Tamandua tetradactyla: one gene and its partner. The protein of the gene in region 1 purifies or fractionates together with the protein of each later gene. This does not show direct contact. Links are inferred from orthologs where the notes say so. Each region holds a gene or a part of one and is shown in the gene's direction. Other genes may lie near its edges.

Evidence for each region. Proteins that work in one complex are often made in the same cells at the same time.
Region 2: the proteins of GRB2 (region 1) and MYH9 purify together in Homo sapiens (affinity purification with mass spectrometry; 3 studies listed by BioGRID and IntAct, with this or other methods). This does not show direct contact. The link is inferred for Tamandua tetradactyla from reciprocal best matches to the Homo sapiens genes GRB2 and MYH9.

Annotation. Positions count from the first base shown.
Region 1 is NC_135332.1:15,811,138-15,818,198, reverse strand, and holds the start of GRB2 (growth factor receptor-bound protein 2), read left to right. Parts: upstream 1-3,822; 5' UTR 3,823-4,035; intron 4,036-4,603; exon of another isoform or gene 4,604-4,737; intron 4,738-5,150; exon of another isoform or gene 5,151-5,347; intron 5,348-7,061. UniProt on the Homo sapiens protein: Non-enzymatic adapter protein that plays a pivotal role in precisely regulated signaling cascades from cell surface receptors to cellular responses, including signaling transduction and gene expression.
Region 2 is NC_135333.1:28,689,395-28,697,345, reverse strand, and holds the start of MYH9 (myosin-9), read left to right. Parts: upstream 1-4,879; 5' UTR 4,880-5,067; intron 5,068-5,755; exon of another isoform or gene 5,756-5,774; intron 5,775-7,951. UniProt on the Homo sapiens protein: Cellular myosin that appears to play a role in cytokinesis, cell shape, and specialized functions such as secretion and capping. Required for cortical actin clearance prior to oocyte exocytosis. Promotes cell motility in conjunction with S100A4.

The DNA of each region.
Region 1 (7,061 bases):
CATCCATTTATCCACCCATCCATCCATCCATCCATCCATCCATTTATTCACTTCATTTACCCTATTTTGTGCTACTCACTGTATTGGGTGCTGGCAATACAAATGTGAAAAGGCATGGTCGTATCTGTCCTGAAGCCTGGAGACTATTAGGAAACCAAGAAGCAAATAAACGTTAATGCAATGAGATTGGAGGTAAGGCAGGAATTTTGGAGAAGGAGCTCTAAAATTGACTTGGGGACCTAACAAAGGGGAGAAGGCCAACCGGGCAGAGGAAACAGCTAGTATAAAGATATGGACCCTCAAAAGATCATGGCATCTTCCGCAAACCACAAATGGTTTAGTACTGGTGAAGTGTGTGTTGGAATGGGGGTGGGGATGGGGAGCGTTGGCTGGGGACTAAGCGGGTGGGCGCTGGTAAGCAGAGGCCAGCTCTTTAAAAGTCTTGCAAAGGACTGGAGATCTTATCTTGTAGGCACTCTGTATCTTAGTTCCAATCGATTTTCCATTCTGCAGCCAGAGTGATAAAGTATTTTGAAAATGAAATCTGACCGCTGGTCACGCCTGCTTCAGTATCTCACAGCATCAAGTCTCAAGTCTTGAGCAATGTTGAAAAGGCACATGAGCCGCTCTAACTGTTTCAGCCACATGCCACATCCTTCTTCCCATTTTCTCTCCTTGTCCCAGCTATACTGGCTTCCTTGAGTTCTCTCTTACTGATCTTTGCACGTGAAGTCTGCCTAAAACAGTCTCTCCCTCTCAGTTTGGCTACCCTACTGAATACTCTCCTTTCAGCTCTCAGCTTAACCCTACTTCCTCAGCCTTCCCTGATCCTGGACTAGGTCAGGTCCCCTCCTGTGGGCTGCCAAAACCACCAGTAATAGCCTATTATAGTCCCAGAGGGACATCTATACCCTTTAAGCTGCAAACTCCCAGAGGGGTTGTTCTGTTCTCAGTCAAATTGATGCTCAGCAAATGGTGCAGAGAATCATTGAATGCATTGAGCTTTTCATCAGTATACTGGATATTTCCACTTGGATGTCTCCTGGAGTGCTGGACTCCACATTTCCACACTTAGGGCATCATCATCACCTCCTTACCCACTCCCCTGCCGCACCCCGGTATATGGCCCCCACCCCCAGCCCCATCAGCTACTCTTGATTTGTAAATTTGTTTTCTTCTGTCACCCAGGGCCTCCACGAAATAAGTAACTGTCTCTCTTCCCTCTTCCTCTTGGCTCAGCTGCCAAGTCCTTCCCTTTCATTTTTGTTTTACTGGCCACCAATATAGAACAGAGTGTCATGGTGGGGAGAGACATGGGTTTTAGAATAAGACAGGCTCAAATCTTAGGACTGCAATATCTGGGTTTCCTTGGATAAGTTAGTTACCTCTCTGACCCTCAGTTTCCAAATCTGTAAAACAGGGATATTATCCAGGCTGTAGAGGAGCTACAATTTTAGTACAAGCAGATGCTAAATAGATGGTCCACTTTCTACTGTCCCCTCATATTAGACATCTCCTACTCAGAAGTTTTCAGAGCAGGTTGCACATCACCTGACTGTGAAACCTAAGCTGTGCATCTTGGCCTTGCATCTAATTTCTCCCCCAAATCCTGGGCCTATCTGAAATATTGACTGGTTCAGTCATTCTTTCATCCCTGCTTTCAAGTTCCAGTTCCAAGTAATGCTTCTTTCCTCTGCAGTCCTAGATGTAGTTCACTGGTTCTTAGGGCCAACTGCTCTGCCTTGCAGACTAGGCAAGTTTCTTTGGATCACAAACTGCTGAAAGCAGAGGCTCTGTCAGGTTCAACTTTTACTGCCCAGGACCTTGCCCACTGTTGATGACCAATAAATACTTGGTGAAAGAACAAACCTCCCTTATTCCAAAGGGTTTGCTTTCTCTACAGAATCAGATGTTTGGTTAGTCTCATTACAATGCTATTTTGTTGGCTTCCAGAAAGTACATTAACATCAGATGCATTCTGTTCTCTCCTTTAATTGAAAGAGCTTTTGGAACTGAAAAATGAGTTACTTCTCCAAGCCTCGTCTTCTGCCACTCCCCTTAGTCACGTACAGACATCAAACTACTTAGCCTTGCACAGAACGCTTCCTTTTTTCTCATGCCTCAGTTCCCTTGTAGGCACCGTTCTTTTTATGTGGAATGCCTTGCTCCAGCTTCTATGCCTGGCGAACTCCTACTCATCCTCCAAGACTCAATCCAAACATCATCACATCACCTTCTCAGCCAGGGCTTTTCTGTGATGGGCAAAGTAACCCTCCCTCCATCTCTGTAGCATCTTCAACATTTGCCAAATAATTATAACAATAGCTATATGATTGTTTACTTGTCTTACTCCTCCAGACTGTGAATTCCTTGAGGGCTGGGATATTTGTTCATTGTTATACCCTTTTTTCTTAATCTTTAACCAAGTATTCATTATCTTTTAAAAACATATTTATTGAGATATCTTCCCACAGATACAGTCCATACATGGTGTACAATCAATGGTTCCCAGTATCATCACATAGCTGTGTATTCATCAATATGATCATTTTTAGAACATTTGCATCACTCCAGAAAAATTAATAAAAAGAAAAAACTCATATATCCCATACTCCTTACTCCTTTCTCTCATTGACCACCAGTATTTCAATCTACCCAATTTTTTACCCTTTCTCCTCCCCCTATTATTTATTTATTATACTTATTTTTTCTCATCTGCCCATACCCTGGATAAAAGGAGCATCAGACACAAGGTTTTCACAATCACACAGTCATATTGTAAAAGCTATATTGTTATATAATCATCTTCAAGAATCAAGACTAATGGAACACAGTTCAGCAGTTTCAAGTACTTCCCTCCAGCCACTCCAATACACCATAAACTAAAAAGCAATATCTGTATAATGCGAAAGAATAACCTCCAAGATAACTTCTCAACTCGGTTTGAAATCTCTTAGCCACTGAAACTTTATTTTGTTCCACTTCTTTCTTTCCTCTTTTGGTCAAGAAGACTTTCTCAGTTCCATGAGACCAGATCCCAGCTCATCCCTGGGAGTCATGTCTCACTTCACCAGGGAGAATTACACCTCTTGGAGTCATATCCTACTTGGGGAGGAGGGCAGTGAGTTCATTTACCGAATTGGCTTAGAGAGAGACCCACATCTGAGCCACAAAAGAGGTTCTCTGGGGGGAGACTCAGGCATAATTATAAGTAGGCTTAGCTTCTCCTTTGCAGGAATAAGTTTGATTGAAGGCTCAGCCTATTGATTTGACTGTCCCCACTGCTTGCGAGAATGTCAGGAATTCCCTAGATAGGGAAGTTGAATATTTCCTTCTTTCTCCCCACACCTTCAAGGGGACCGTCGTAGGATCTTTTAGACCTAATACATATTAGGAGCATGATTTGATTAATGAACGAACGAATCCGTTATTTCATCTTACAATGCAGCGTTTGTATGGACCGGTTCTCAAACATTTCATGTTACGGTCCTCTATTTAGCGTGCTTCATGTTGGAGAGGTATCCCCTCTTCCCTCATTCCCTTGCTGTGGTGTAAGGAGAAGGGAAAATGACTATGGTTTGGAAAGAGTTACACCTTCGGGTCTGCGGCGTACTTTACTAGCTCTGGCACCGAGAGGGTTACGGCCACCAGGGGGCGGAGCCTTCCCAGTGCCACCTGCTGCGGACCGGCCTGGCGCGTGCGCCTTGGCACCTAGATGGTGTCTACCTTGCGAGGGCCCGGCCTAAAAGGAGCGCTTGCGCTCTGGGCCTTTTCCTCCGGGGGAAGTCTCGCGGAGGCGGGGTGGGGCGGGGCCACGCGGAGATGTTCTCGCGGGACCCCGACGAGGAGCGGAAGCGAGGAGGCTGAGGTGCTTCGGCAACCGGGCGGCGGCGGTGGCGGCGGCAACGGTCACGAAAGCTGGTTCTGACGGCGGCGGACACAGACGCTGCCCTAGGGGAGCAGCAGCAGGGTCGGCGGTCGCTCGCACCGCTGCGGAGGGGCCGGCCCGGCGCGGAGCAGAACAGCTGCGCCACGGTGAGTGCGGGCGGCGGCGTTCGGCGCTGCTCGGGTGCCTCTTCCTCCCGGCCCCGCGGCGGGAGTCGACCCCGGGGGTCGAGCCGAGCCCGCCCCGGGCCGCCGGGCCGGCCGCGGATCTCGGGTCGGGTAGGCGAGGCCTGGGACGAGGAGCGGAGTCTCCGGGGCTCGGGTCTCCACGTTTCCTCTTTTCGGACGCTTCCTTCCTGGGGACTGTCTTCCTTCGCCCGCGGCTCTCAGGCAGAGCCTGGGACCCCGGGGGCCCCTTGGGGTGATTCTCCTTGAAAGTCCACGTTTATCTTGAGGGTTTGCTCTGAAGGGGCTCGGGAGAATCCCGAGAGGCGCTGGGTGCTCATTTTCTGAGTCAGTCTGACTTAGCCCAGGAGGCGGGGGATTCGGGGCAGGCTGCAAATGTGATGCTTCTTCGACGTGCACGGCCACCACGTCACCAAGTGTTGGTGTTCGGGGCCCGAATTTCATGAGGGAATCCTCCAACCTTGTCAGTACCGTGCGTTAGAACGTTTACTCTCGGAGCCGGGAGAGATGCCATTATTTCTGTCGCTGTTTTTTTTGGGGGGGGAGGGAGTTGGGGGGAGCTACTCTGAAAAATTGGGTAATTGGGTGGAATGCCCCAGGAACGATTTCGGCAAGAAACACGGATTTTTCACTTGCAGAGCTCTACGAATATATATCGTAAGCATTGTGAGTCTCGGCTTATGTAGAAAGTTATTCTAGGTTGGTTTAAAGTGCTATAAAAGTACGATTGGCAGAGGAGCTGAAGTTCACTCGAGGTCTAACTTGGTTCTGTGGACGCAGAAAATAGTTTGAAATACACATGAAGAAATTGGCATTTGTCTATTTTGGCTCTCTTGTCCCTCTTTCACTTTTTTCTTCAGTTATTGCTTTCCCTGTCTATCTCTAGGTATTTTCATTTTAGCATAGACACTAAATGCATTATTTGTATAATGCAAGTCATTTGCTTCCCCCCTCCCCTTCCCTTCCCCCCATCTACTTCCCCCCCTCCCTTCCCTTCCCTTCCCTCCCCTTCCCCTCCCCCCCAGTCTATTTCCCCTTCCTCCTTAGTGTCCTGTCTCAAAAGCCTCTTCTGCAGTTTGGTGTAGGCTGTACATTCTCTCCCTCATTTAAAGGTTCCGTTTTCTTTCTTGGGAAGATACCCTCATTCCGGCTTCCATTCCTTAACGTTTAAGCGGTCACTGTGTTCCTTCAGCCAGCCAGAAGGGTTGCTAGAATTCCACGGGAAGCTTAAGTTGTCCCTCTGGGAACTGGGAGGCTCAAAGGATTGAATTCATCCGTAAGTAATCGATACTGCCACTAGGTCACAAATGTAGTTTGCTTGTGTTATTTGTGTTCTGGTGTTTTCTTTGCTTTAAGATAGTGCTTTTGGGCCTGCTTATGCTTTTTTCCCTGTATCATTTATATTTAGGGAGATTGGGTCAATTTGGGGCTTGTATGACTTTAACTTTTAATGGGAGTAACGGTTAATGTTAAAAAAATGAAAATCATTTAAACTTATTATGCAATGGCCTTAAGATGACATGAAAAATTTAAGGGAATAGAACTTATTTAGACCATTGATGAGGTAGTTAAATTATTATTAACCCATTGAAATACTATTTTTTCTCAGTGTCTTTTCCCTACGTTTGTGATAGCATCCTTTTTGAGAGGGTAGAAATAGATAACTTTATTTGCTCTGTTGCCTCTTCCCATAGTCAGAATTTTCCAAATCTCAAGATGAAAGAAATTAGTTCTTGATAATCAGCCTTCTTTCATAATGAAAACAAGCATTTAAATAAATGGTTTTAGGTAGTTTCAGCAAGTGTATTCAGGTTTGGGAGGATTACTAGGATTTGAATACTTCATGGTACTTAGAGATTTTTTCCAGTAATTCTTGTTATCATGTCAGATATTATGCAGCAGCAGGAGAATTGCATTATGTTTGAAGAAATGAAGTAATACAGAATAGAGAGCTACCATAATTTAAAAGAAATTAATAGTTACCTGCTTAAATTAGAAGAACTCTCCAGCATTATTGAATGACCATTTAGATTCTTTTTCTTTCTTTTTTTGTCCAAAATGGCTTTTTTCTAGTTGTGCCAAGTGAATGTGTGTTATTTTCATTTTATACAAAACATTGTAGTTCACTGTCTGGCATGTAAATTTTTAAATCTTAAGATGCCTTTATTGTACAGCGGTAATTCTTAAAGTTTAGTATGTGTAAGAAGCATCTGGGGCTCTTATTTAAAATCAGGTTCTGGGCAAAAGGCCCTTTCATTGCAGAACTCCAGGGCCCCTTACCACTCTGAATCTGTCTGTGAATTTTGGGTAGTTTTGATGCAGATGATCCGTGAACCAAAACTTTTCTTCCAGGATGCAGCTTGCTTATGGTAAAGAATGAGACTGAGCGTGGCTTAAAGTTACTCAACCGAAAGTACAGCTCTTCTATATACAAAGTAAATATTTAGAAGCCTAGTAGAATAAGTGACTGTCTGATGTGATTCATTTTTAAATGTGTAAATATTTGACTATTGTTAGGACTGTGATGTGAAATAATTTAATTTTAAAGTTTATATTTGAAAGAGCTCTTAATTTTTCAGAGTTCTTCTAAGTCTATATATAAATGGAAGATTTAGATTTAATGTGATAACATGTGGACCCCTCTTTGAAAAGGGTCTGATCTTGCAAGTTAGCATCTCTTGAGCACTTTATGCCAGAGACTGTACTTTCTAATCAACAGAATAACTTTCTAAGGTAGGTGCTGTTGTTATCCCCATTTTCCAGCTGAGGATATATTGAGGATTAGGGAATGTAAATTATTTCTCCAGTGTCCCCACCCAGTTACTAAGTGGTGAAGTGACTGTTGAATCCAGGTCTAATTCTAGAGCATCAGTTAGCAAAAGTAATACATGCTTATTGTAAAAACAATGAAATACAATTGAGGTGTATGTATAGTGTAGAAAGTAAAAGTATTCTTTGTTCTTGCTCCACATATGACTATCATTAACTTT
Region 2 (7,951 bases), on another chromosome or scaffold:
GGCACCCACTAGCTTATTTTTCGTCCCTATAGATTTCCCTGTTCTGGACATTTTATTTACATGGAATCATATAATATCCGGGCATTGCGTCTGGCTTCTTTCACTTGGTGTAATGTTCTCAAGATTCACCCGTGTTGTAGCATGTATCAGTACTTCACTTTTTATTACTTAATAATATTCCATTGTAAGGATAGACCACATTCATTCAAGTGATGGAAATTTGGGTCATCTCTGGCCTCACATGTAACAGTAGTATGTACTTTTTTCCCTTTCTTTTTAGTGTGTACATTTTAATTGCTGTGTAGTATTTCATTGTATGAACATACTCAGTATATCCATTCTGCTGTTGATGGGCATTCCCCCCTAGTTTTTGGTTATTTTAAGAGACTCTGTCCATTTTTGTACCTGCCTTTGGTGGGTTCAGTACTTGTCTCTGTTGAGTACAGACTCAAGAGTGGAATTCTTGGGTCCTAGTATATGCTGTATATTCAACTCTAGTAGATACAACCAAACACTTTTTCCAAAATGGCTGTACCAATTTATGCCACCACAGTGTCTGAGAGTCCCAGTTGCTCCCAGTCCTTGCCAACACTTGGCATTTTAATTTTAGTCATTCTGATGAGGGAATAGTGGTATCTCATTGTGGTTTTAATTAGCAATTCTGCCATGACTAATCATGTTGAGTACTTTTTCATATGCTGGCCATTTGGATGCCCTTTTTTTTTGATGTGCTGCTCATTCAAATGTTCTGTTCATTTTTAAAAATTATCATTTTTTCTTATTGTAGACATTCTTGATAAATTCTGGGTCCCATCCTTTGTTACCTTTATATATTGTAGACATTTTCTTCCAGTTTGTGATCTGACTTTTCAGTCTTTTACTTGTGTCTTTTGATGAGTTCTTCATTTTAATGAAGTTCATGTTGACAATCTTGTCTCATAGTTAATACTTTTTTTGTTATGTTTAAGAAATTGTTGCCTACTTCAAGGTCATGAACATATTCTTGAACAGTTATTTTCAGAAGGTTTATTGTTTATTTTTCATATTTAGGTCTCTGATCCATCCTAAATTATTTTCATGTATAGTGTAATGCAGGGGGTCGAGATTAATTTTACCCCCATGGATATGTAGTTGATCCAGCACCATTTACTAAAAAAATTATCCATTCCTTACTTATTTGCAATGTGCTAACTTTGTAATAAATCAGGTGGTCATATATATGTTTGCATCCTCCAATTTTATTTAAAATATATAGAATATATGCATATATACTTGTACATATGTGCGCACACTTACAGATGTGTGTGTGTGTGTGTGTGTGTGTGTGCATTGGAAGGAAGTAACAAGGTTTGTTAATAGTTGCTACATAAGGCTATATGTGGTTTCAATTTTCTTTCTTTTTATTACTTTCTGCATCAAATATAACATTCAGACAAAACAGACGAAATATTTTTCTAAAATATTCTGGGAGTGGAAAGGATCAAAGGTACAGGTTTTTAGAGGTTGGAGGAGGGGTTAGGCTGGATGGCAAGGAGGAGGGCTTCCTTATTCAGGAAAGCATCAAGGTGTGGCAGACCTTCTATCTTCTTAATGACCTCAGTTACAAGGAAAGAGTGGGGCTAGGAGGCTGGAGGCTTGAGGTAAATGGAAATATTATTATCAATAATGTGTACTGATTAGCAGTCATGGTCCCCTATGCTTCTTTCAGCAGTCCTAGGGGTGAGTCAAGTCCTGGTGATTACACTGATTTTATGGATAAGAAAACAGAGGCTCAGAGACCTGCTCAGGCATGCATTGAGGACCATGTTATGCAAGACAAATAAGGCACAGCCCCTGTCTGTCCTCAGGTAGCTTCCAGCCTGGGTAGGGAAAGAGCAAGTAAATGGTTTAAAGTTTAAAATCCAGTGTGTAAGTGCTAGAAGGAAGGTAAATGCTTGTAATGTGGGATCACAGAGAGGCACCCAACCTGGCCTGGAGGGCCAGGGAAGACATCTGGGGAGAGGGGATATCGAAATGAGTCTTTTTAATCTTTTCTTAATTATGTGAGTGATACATATGTTTAAAAATACAGATAAGAAAAAATCAATCACAGTCCCTCTATCAATACATAATCCCTATTTACACTTTGATGAAATTAATGCCTTTTAAACTTAATTCTTTCTCTGAGAAAAACACATACATATGCAAACACATACAAAATTGCATAGAAATAAATGAAATTCCACTACAGTAGCATTCTATAGTTTATTCTTCCTCAGTATATTTTAAACCAATATATACAAATTTACATAACAATTTAAATGCCCTTTTGTGGTATTTTTAAACATATAGATGTATCAAAATGTAATCAATCTCTTACTATATTAATTCATTTATAACATTTAGAGACTATAAACAATGTTGCAAAGAAGAACTTTTTAACACACTGTGATGGTTAGATTCTTGTGTCAACTCGGCCTCCTGATGATGCCCAGTTGTCTGGTCAAGCAAGCACTGGCCTAATGGTTGCTGCAAGGATATCTGATGGCGGGTTGATAAGCCAGAAGGCTGGTTTATTAAATCAGCAGTCAGTTGATTGCAGCTTACTATCAACTAAGAGAGTGCCTCCTCCCAAATAAGTTAATCAAATCACCTGGATTTGGACCTATCAGTTGAAGACTTTAAAGGAAGGAGAGAGAATTTTCACTGTTTATTCAGTCAACAAGCCTCTCCTGTGGAGTTCGTCAAGACTTCTTCGGAGCTGCCAGTGTCACAGCTTGCCCTATGGATTTTGGGCGCTTCCATTTCCATGGTTGTGTGAGACACCTTTAAAATCTCATATTTTACAGATATCTCCTGCTGGTTCTGTTTCTTTAGAGAGCTCTAATACACAAATATCTGTGCATGTCTCCATTTTTGTCTTAAGATGAATTCTCAGAATTCTTTGGTCAATTTACTTTTCCACTGTGTTTATCAACTTGGCTAACTGGACATTTTTCTTCTTTTTTTTAATTTGGTAAGTGAAAATGGCATCCATGTTGTTTTTGTTCCGTTTTCTGATACTTAATTTTAAAAATTATTAGCCATTTATATTTCTTCATTTTGGATTGCCCGTTTTTGGCCATTTTTATTTTGGAGTTTTTTTGGGTTTTCTTATTGACTGGAAAGAGTTCCTATTATTGATAATAAGTCTTTGTCACAGAGTTGCAAACTCTTTTTTTTCTTTAGAACATAATTTTTTTTTCCTGAATTTCATTTGGGAGAACAGTTAGTCATAAGAGCAAGGCTATTCCACAGCAAACAGTAATGAGGAGAAATCTGCTCTCTCAGATATTGTATTAGTTTGTTAATTCTGCCAAAATATACCAGAAATGGAATGGGTTTTAATAAGAGAATTTAATAAGTTACACATTTAGTTCTAAGCCAGGCCATAAAAATGTCTAAACTAACACATCCAAGCAAAGATACCTTGACTCAAGAAAGGCCAATGTCTGTCACATGGGAAGGTCAGCTTCTGATGCCAGTGGTTTCCTGTCTACGCATCTGTGGGCTTTCACTTAGCTCCTCCAGGACACAACTCTGGGTTCTGGCTTGCTTAGCATCTTATGTGAAAGCGCGTGGTGTGTGCATCTCTGTCAGCTCTGAAGCAACTGTTCTCCCAGCATCTGCATCTGAGGTTTCTCCAAAATGTTTCTCTTTTTAAAGGACTCTAGTAAACTAATCAAGACCCACCTTGAATGGGTGTGTCACATTTCCATGGAAGTAAACCCAAGTTTCCCACCCTAAACAATAGGTCTGGCACCACAAGATTGGATCAGGATTAAAATATGGCTTTTCTGAGGGCACATAGTAGTTTCAAACCATCACAGATATAAAATGTATTATAAACCTGCAATGAGCTGGCACAGGGAAGATTAACAGACAAAACTCAGAAACATCCAAGTATATACAAGTTCAGCATATGATGAAGGTGGTACCTGAAATCAGTAGAGAAAATGGTGTTTGGACAACTATCACAAAAATCACGTCGGATTTCTTCACTCTAGAACCAAAATAAATTCTAAGTAGACTAAAAGCTAAGTGTATATAAATTTAGAAATTAAAAAATAGAAAAAATAATAAATAGTTATCATCTTTGGTGAAAAGTGATTCGCTTACCCAAAAGAGCCAAGAAAACATTTTGTAAGCGAACAGAGGAGTGGAAAGGCATTCCAGGCAGAGGGACTGAGCAAATGTCTGGAGACTCCAAGAAGCAAAGCAGCGTGCTTTACTCTAAATAGCCAGGGTCAGGAATCGAACTCCGGATGCCCACAACGGAATCCGGGACTGAGTCCACGCCCGCTCCCACAGGCCATAATAATTTTGTAAAATAGCACTTTTTCCATATATGGTACTTAATATCTGTTCTTCTGGTAGGATGACATAGGACAGGGAAAAAACAGCCCGCGGGGCCGGGCGCCAGCTACGCCAGCCTCCCCTGTCCGCTCCCGCCGGGCCTGCCCCAGCGCAGGCAATGCACCAAAGCCGGGTTCCGGAGCCGTCCGCGCCCGGAGCCGCCTCCTCCTGATTGGACGCTCACTGCGTCAATCCTCCTCCTCGAACCTGGCTGTCCGTTGGACCCGCCCTTGGAGGGCGGGGCTCCCGCCTAGGAAGCGCGGGGGAAGGTGGAGCGGGTGGAGCTGGGGGCGGATGGGGAGGACCAGTCCCCACCCTTCTGATCCAGGGGCTCCGCCCACCCCACTTTCCACAGGTCAAGATGTCCTTCCATCAAGACCCGGCGCATACAGGAGTGGGCGAGACAGCTTAGGGGCGGGGCCTTTCCTCCCTGCTCCGCTCACTAGCCGGCTTCGGACTGGGAATGGACCGGCGACTGAGAGGGCGGGGCAGGGGGGGCGGCGAGGATCCGAGCTGGGTGCGGTGAGGCGCGCAGATCACCGCGGTTCCTGGGCAGGGCACGGAAGGCTCGGCGAGGCTGACCTGCTGCCGCTCCCGCCTCGCGCGTTCGCCCCATCCCGCCGCCACCCGAGCGCTCGAGAACGCTCCCTCGGGAGAAGCATCGCCTGTTCCCCGGGGCTCCTCCAGGTCCAGGTGAGCGAGCCCCACCGGCGGGTCCCGCCCTGGGCCGGCGGGCGGGGGCGGCGGCGATGGGGCGCGCGGCGTCAGGGGCGCGCGGGCCGAACTGTGGTTGTCGGCCCCGGCGTGGCCCGCGACCGGCGCGGGCGGGCGCGAATGCCGGCGACCCCGGACCGGGCAGCGCATCCTCTCCGGAGGGACTGCGGGACCCCTGCGCGGGTGCTAGGGGACGGCGCCCCTGGGAGCGAGGCCTCCGGGAGCGGAGGAAGTCTTCGGTGCCGCGCGCTCCCGGGCCACGGTTCCCTCCCTCCCGCTGCCGGGCACGTCCCCCCCGCCCCGGCACTTGGGGACCCCGACCTCGTCCGACCGCCGGGGGCACGCGCCCCGCTCTCCCCTCGCCCAGTGCCCAACTTGGTAGAACTTTTTTAACCTCTTCCGGGGAGCCGTTGCCCCTTGGACCCAGCCGGGCGGGTGGAGGTGCTGTGGGGGACTCGAGCAGTCAGGGCTCCGGGCAGGGGCTCCTTTGGAAGTTTCCATGCGTTTTGGGGACGGAGGTAACGGGCGGGAGGAGACCGTTTGGCAGCTGTCAGGGCGGCCTCCTGAGTCAGAATGGGACAATCCCGCCGCAGACATTGCGCTCGGCTCGGTTTCCGCCCTGGGCTGCAGACTTCCTCATTCGCCCTGCTGCGAAGGGTCGGGCCCTGGAGGAGGGCGGAGGAGAGGTACGGAGGGGTGCGTGGGGAAGGGGGACCCGGCAGGGACGCGGCCGCGGCGCAGGAAAGAACACCCACCCCCCCCAACCTTTGACTGCTATTGCCGGGGAGAGGAAGGAAACCTCGGAATGCACGCAGCCGTCGGGCCGGCCTAAGCGTGCACCTGATTCCTCCGCACCCGCGGCCGCCCCGCCCGGGCCATGCGGCTAGAAGCGGCATCCTGTTCCTTTAGGTCCAGGTTTGGGTTATCGCATCTTGTCTGCTTGGGCCGGATCCAGGGTTTTGAACCCCTCCTCCCACTCCCTGTGCTGGAGTCCTCATCCCATCCCCGTCCTGGGGCCACTCCAAGGCCCCGGGTAGGACCAGAGCACCCCAGTTCCCTTCACGATGCCCATTGTTCACACTGAAACGTAGTGACTTCCAGGGCTGAAGCTCGCCTGCTGCCTTGAAGGTGGTAGTGGTGGTGGTGGTGGGGTGAGAGCCAGGACTGCTGCCGGCGCCCCACCCAGCCGGTGTGAAGGAGAAGGTTCCTGGGAAGTCCCAGGTCCGGAGGACGGCTGATTTTAGGGCCCCAGACGCTTCTCGGTTCACCGAGCCCTCTCAGCAGGATTTTAGAGTAACTGTTGAAGGGGAAGGAAGCTTAGTTCCTTTTGGGATAACACTATGGCCATTTCTGAGCCGGCCTGAAAACCTCTTGGTGAGGAGGAAAGCTGCTCTAAGGCCTATTTAGACAATCGCCCCACTAATATTTGTCAATTTATATATAAGGCTGCCATGGGTGGGGTGGGGGTACAGAGATGTGTAATTGAGCAAATATTTGACTGGCTTCTCTGCCAAGAACTCTGCCACGGAGTGGGGGTGGGGGTGGGGGTATGTGCAAGGTTGAGTAAGACCTGGCCCCTGCCCTCTGGCATTTAGGGGAGAGCCCAGACAAATCTGTCAATGACTCTAAAGTGAGGTGAGGTGGAGATGACAGGGACCCCAGAAAGGTACTGTGAGTCATGGAGATTGAGAGAAATGATCCAGCTCCCCCCCTCACCCCTGAGTGGAGATCCTGGAGGCCTCTTGGAGGAGGCCTCTGCCATCTGGGAGTTTGCAGTCTTCCAGGGGACATAGTGGCAGAATGACAGGAACACAAAGGCAGCCTGTGATGAGCATCACAAGAATGCCATAGACAAAGGACTCGAGGAATTCCAAGGCCTAGGGAGACTAGTTCTGTGTGAAGGGAGGAGAAAGCAGCTGTGAGGAAGGAGCATGTTGCAGGTTTGGCAAACTGAGGCAAGCATATGGTGTTGGAAAGTGAGGCGTCATCTAGTGGATAATTGGGAGGTAATTAAAAGTGTCAAGATTGCTCAGTGTAATTTGAGAGTCACCGTGTCCCTGGTGGCTGCTGGGTATTGCCAGGCCAGTGACACTGAAGAGCCCCACTCTCCACCTCCAGCAAGTCCTGGTACCTGGAGCTGGGGCTGGCCAGCTAGATTTGGGGAGTTATTCCTGGGAGAGGGGCAATTGGAGAGGTGTATTCTGTGCGGATGCTTGTCCTAAGGCTTGTGAGGGTAGATGAAAGAGGCCCTTTTTGTTTTTAAACTTTTTAATCTGAGGGGTTAGAGATGGGACAACTGCTCTCTTGTAGGATGAAGGATGCATGTAAATCACAGCCTGCCTTTTGCCTGCTCTTGCTTCAAAAAAAAAAAAAAAAAAAAAACCCAAAACAACAAAACAAAGATCTGTTAGCTCCTTAAAAGAAGAAAAGCACACTAAAAAAATGCAGCATTGTTGTGTTGCCTGATAGGGTATTGCTAGAAGCCAGGATGGCTGTGCTTTCTTAACTTCCTCTTCTAGCTAATCCTTCAATAAAGTACTTAAAACAGCCCTTACCAGCTTGATATCTTTATTTCAAAAGGAGAGGAGGGGTTGGCCATAGTATTTCTCTGAGCCTGGGCCCTACCCTTCTTTTGGAGGGAAAGAAAGAGAATCCCAAAGGAAAGGGAAAAAAAAATCCATGCCTTGACAGCTCCCTTCTAAGCATCATGTTCCAAAAATATTTAGAATAACAAAATCTGTGTCGTCTTAATTAAACAAATGTTCTAATTTGCTGAGCATAAAACAGCATCTCTGCCTGGGGCAGGAAGTACATTTTCCCTTTGTGCAGCCCCGGCAAGTCTCTGCCTCCCTGCCTTAACCCT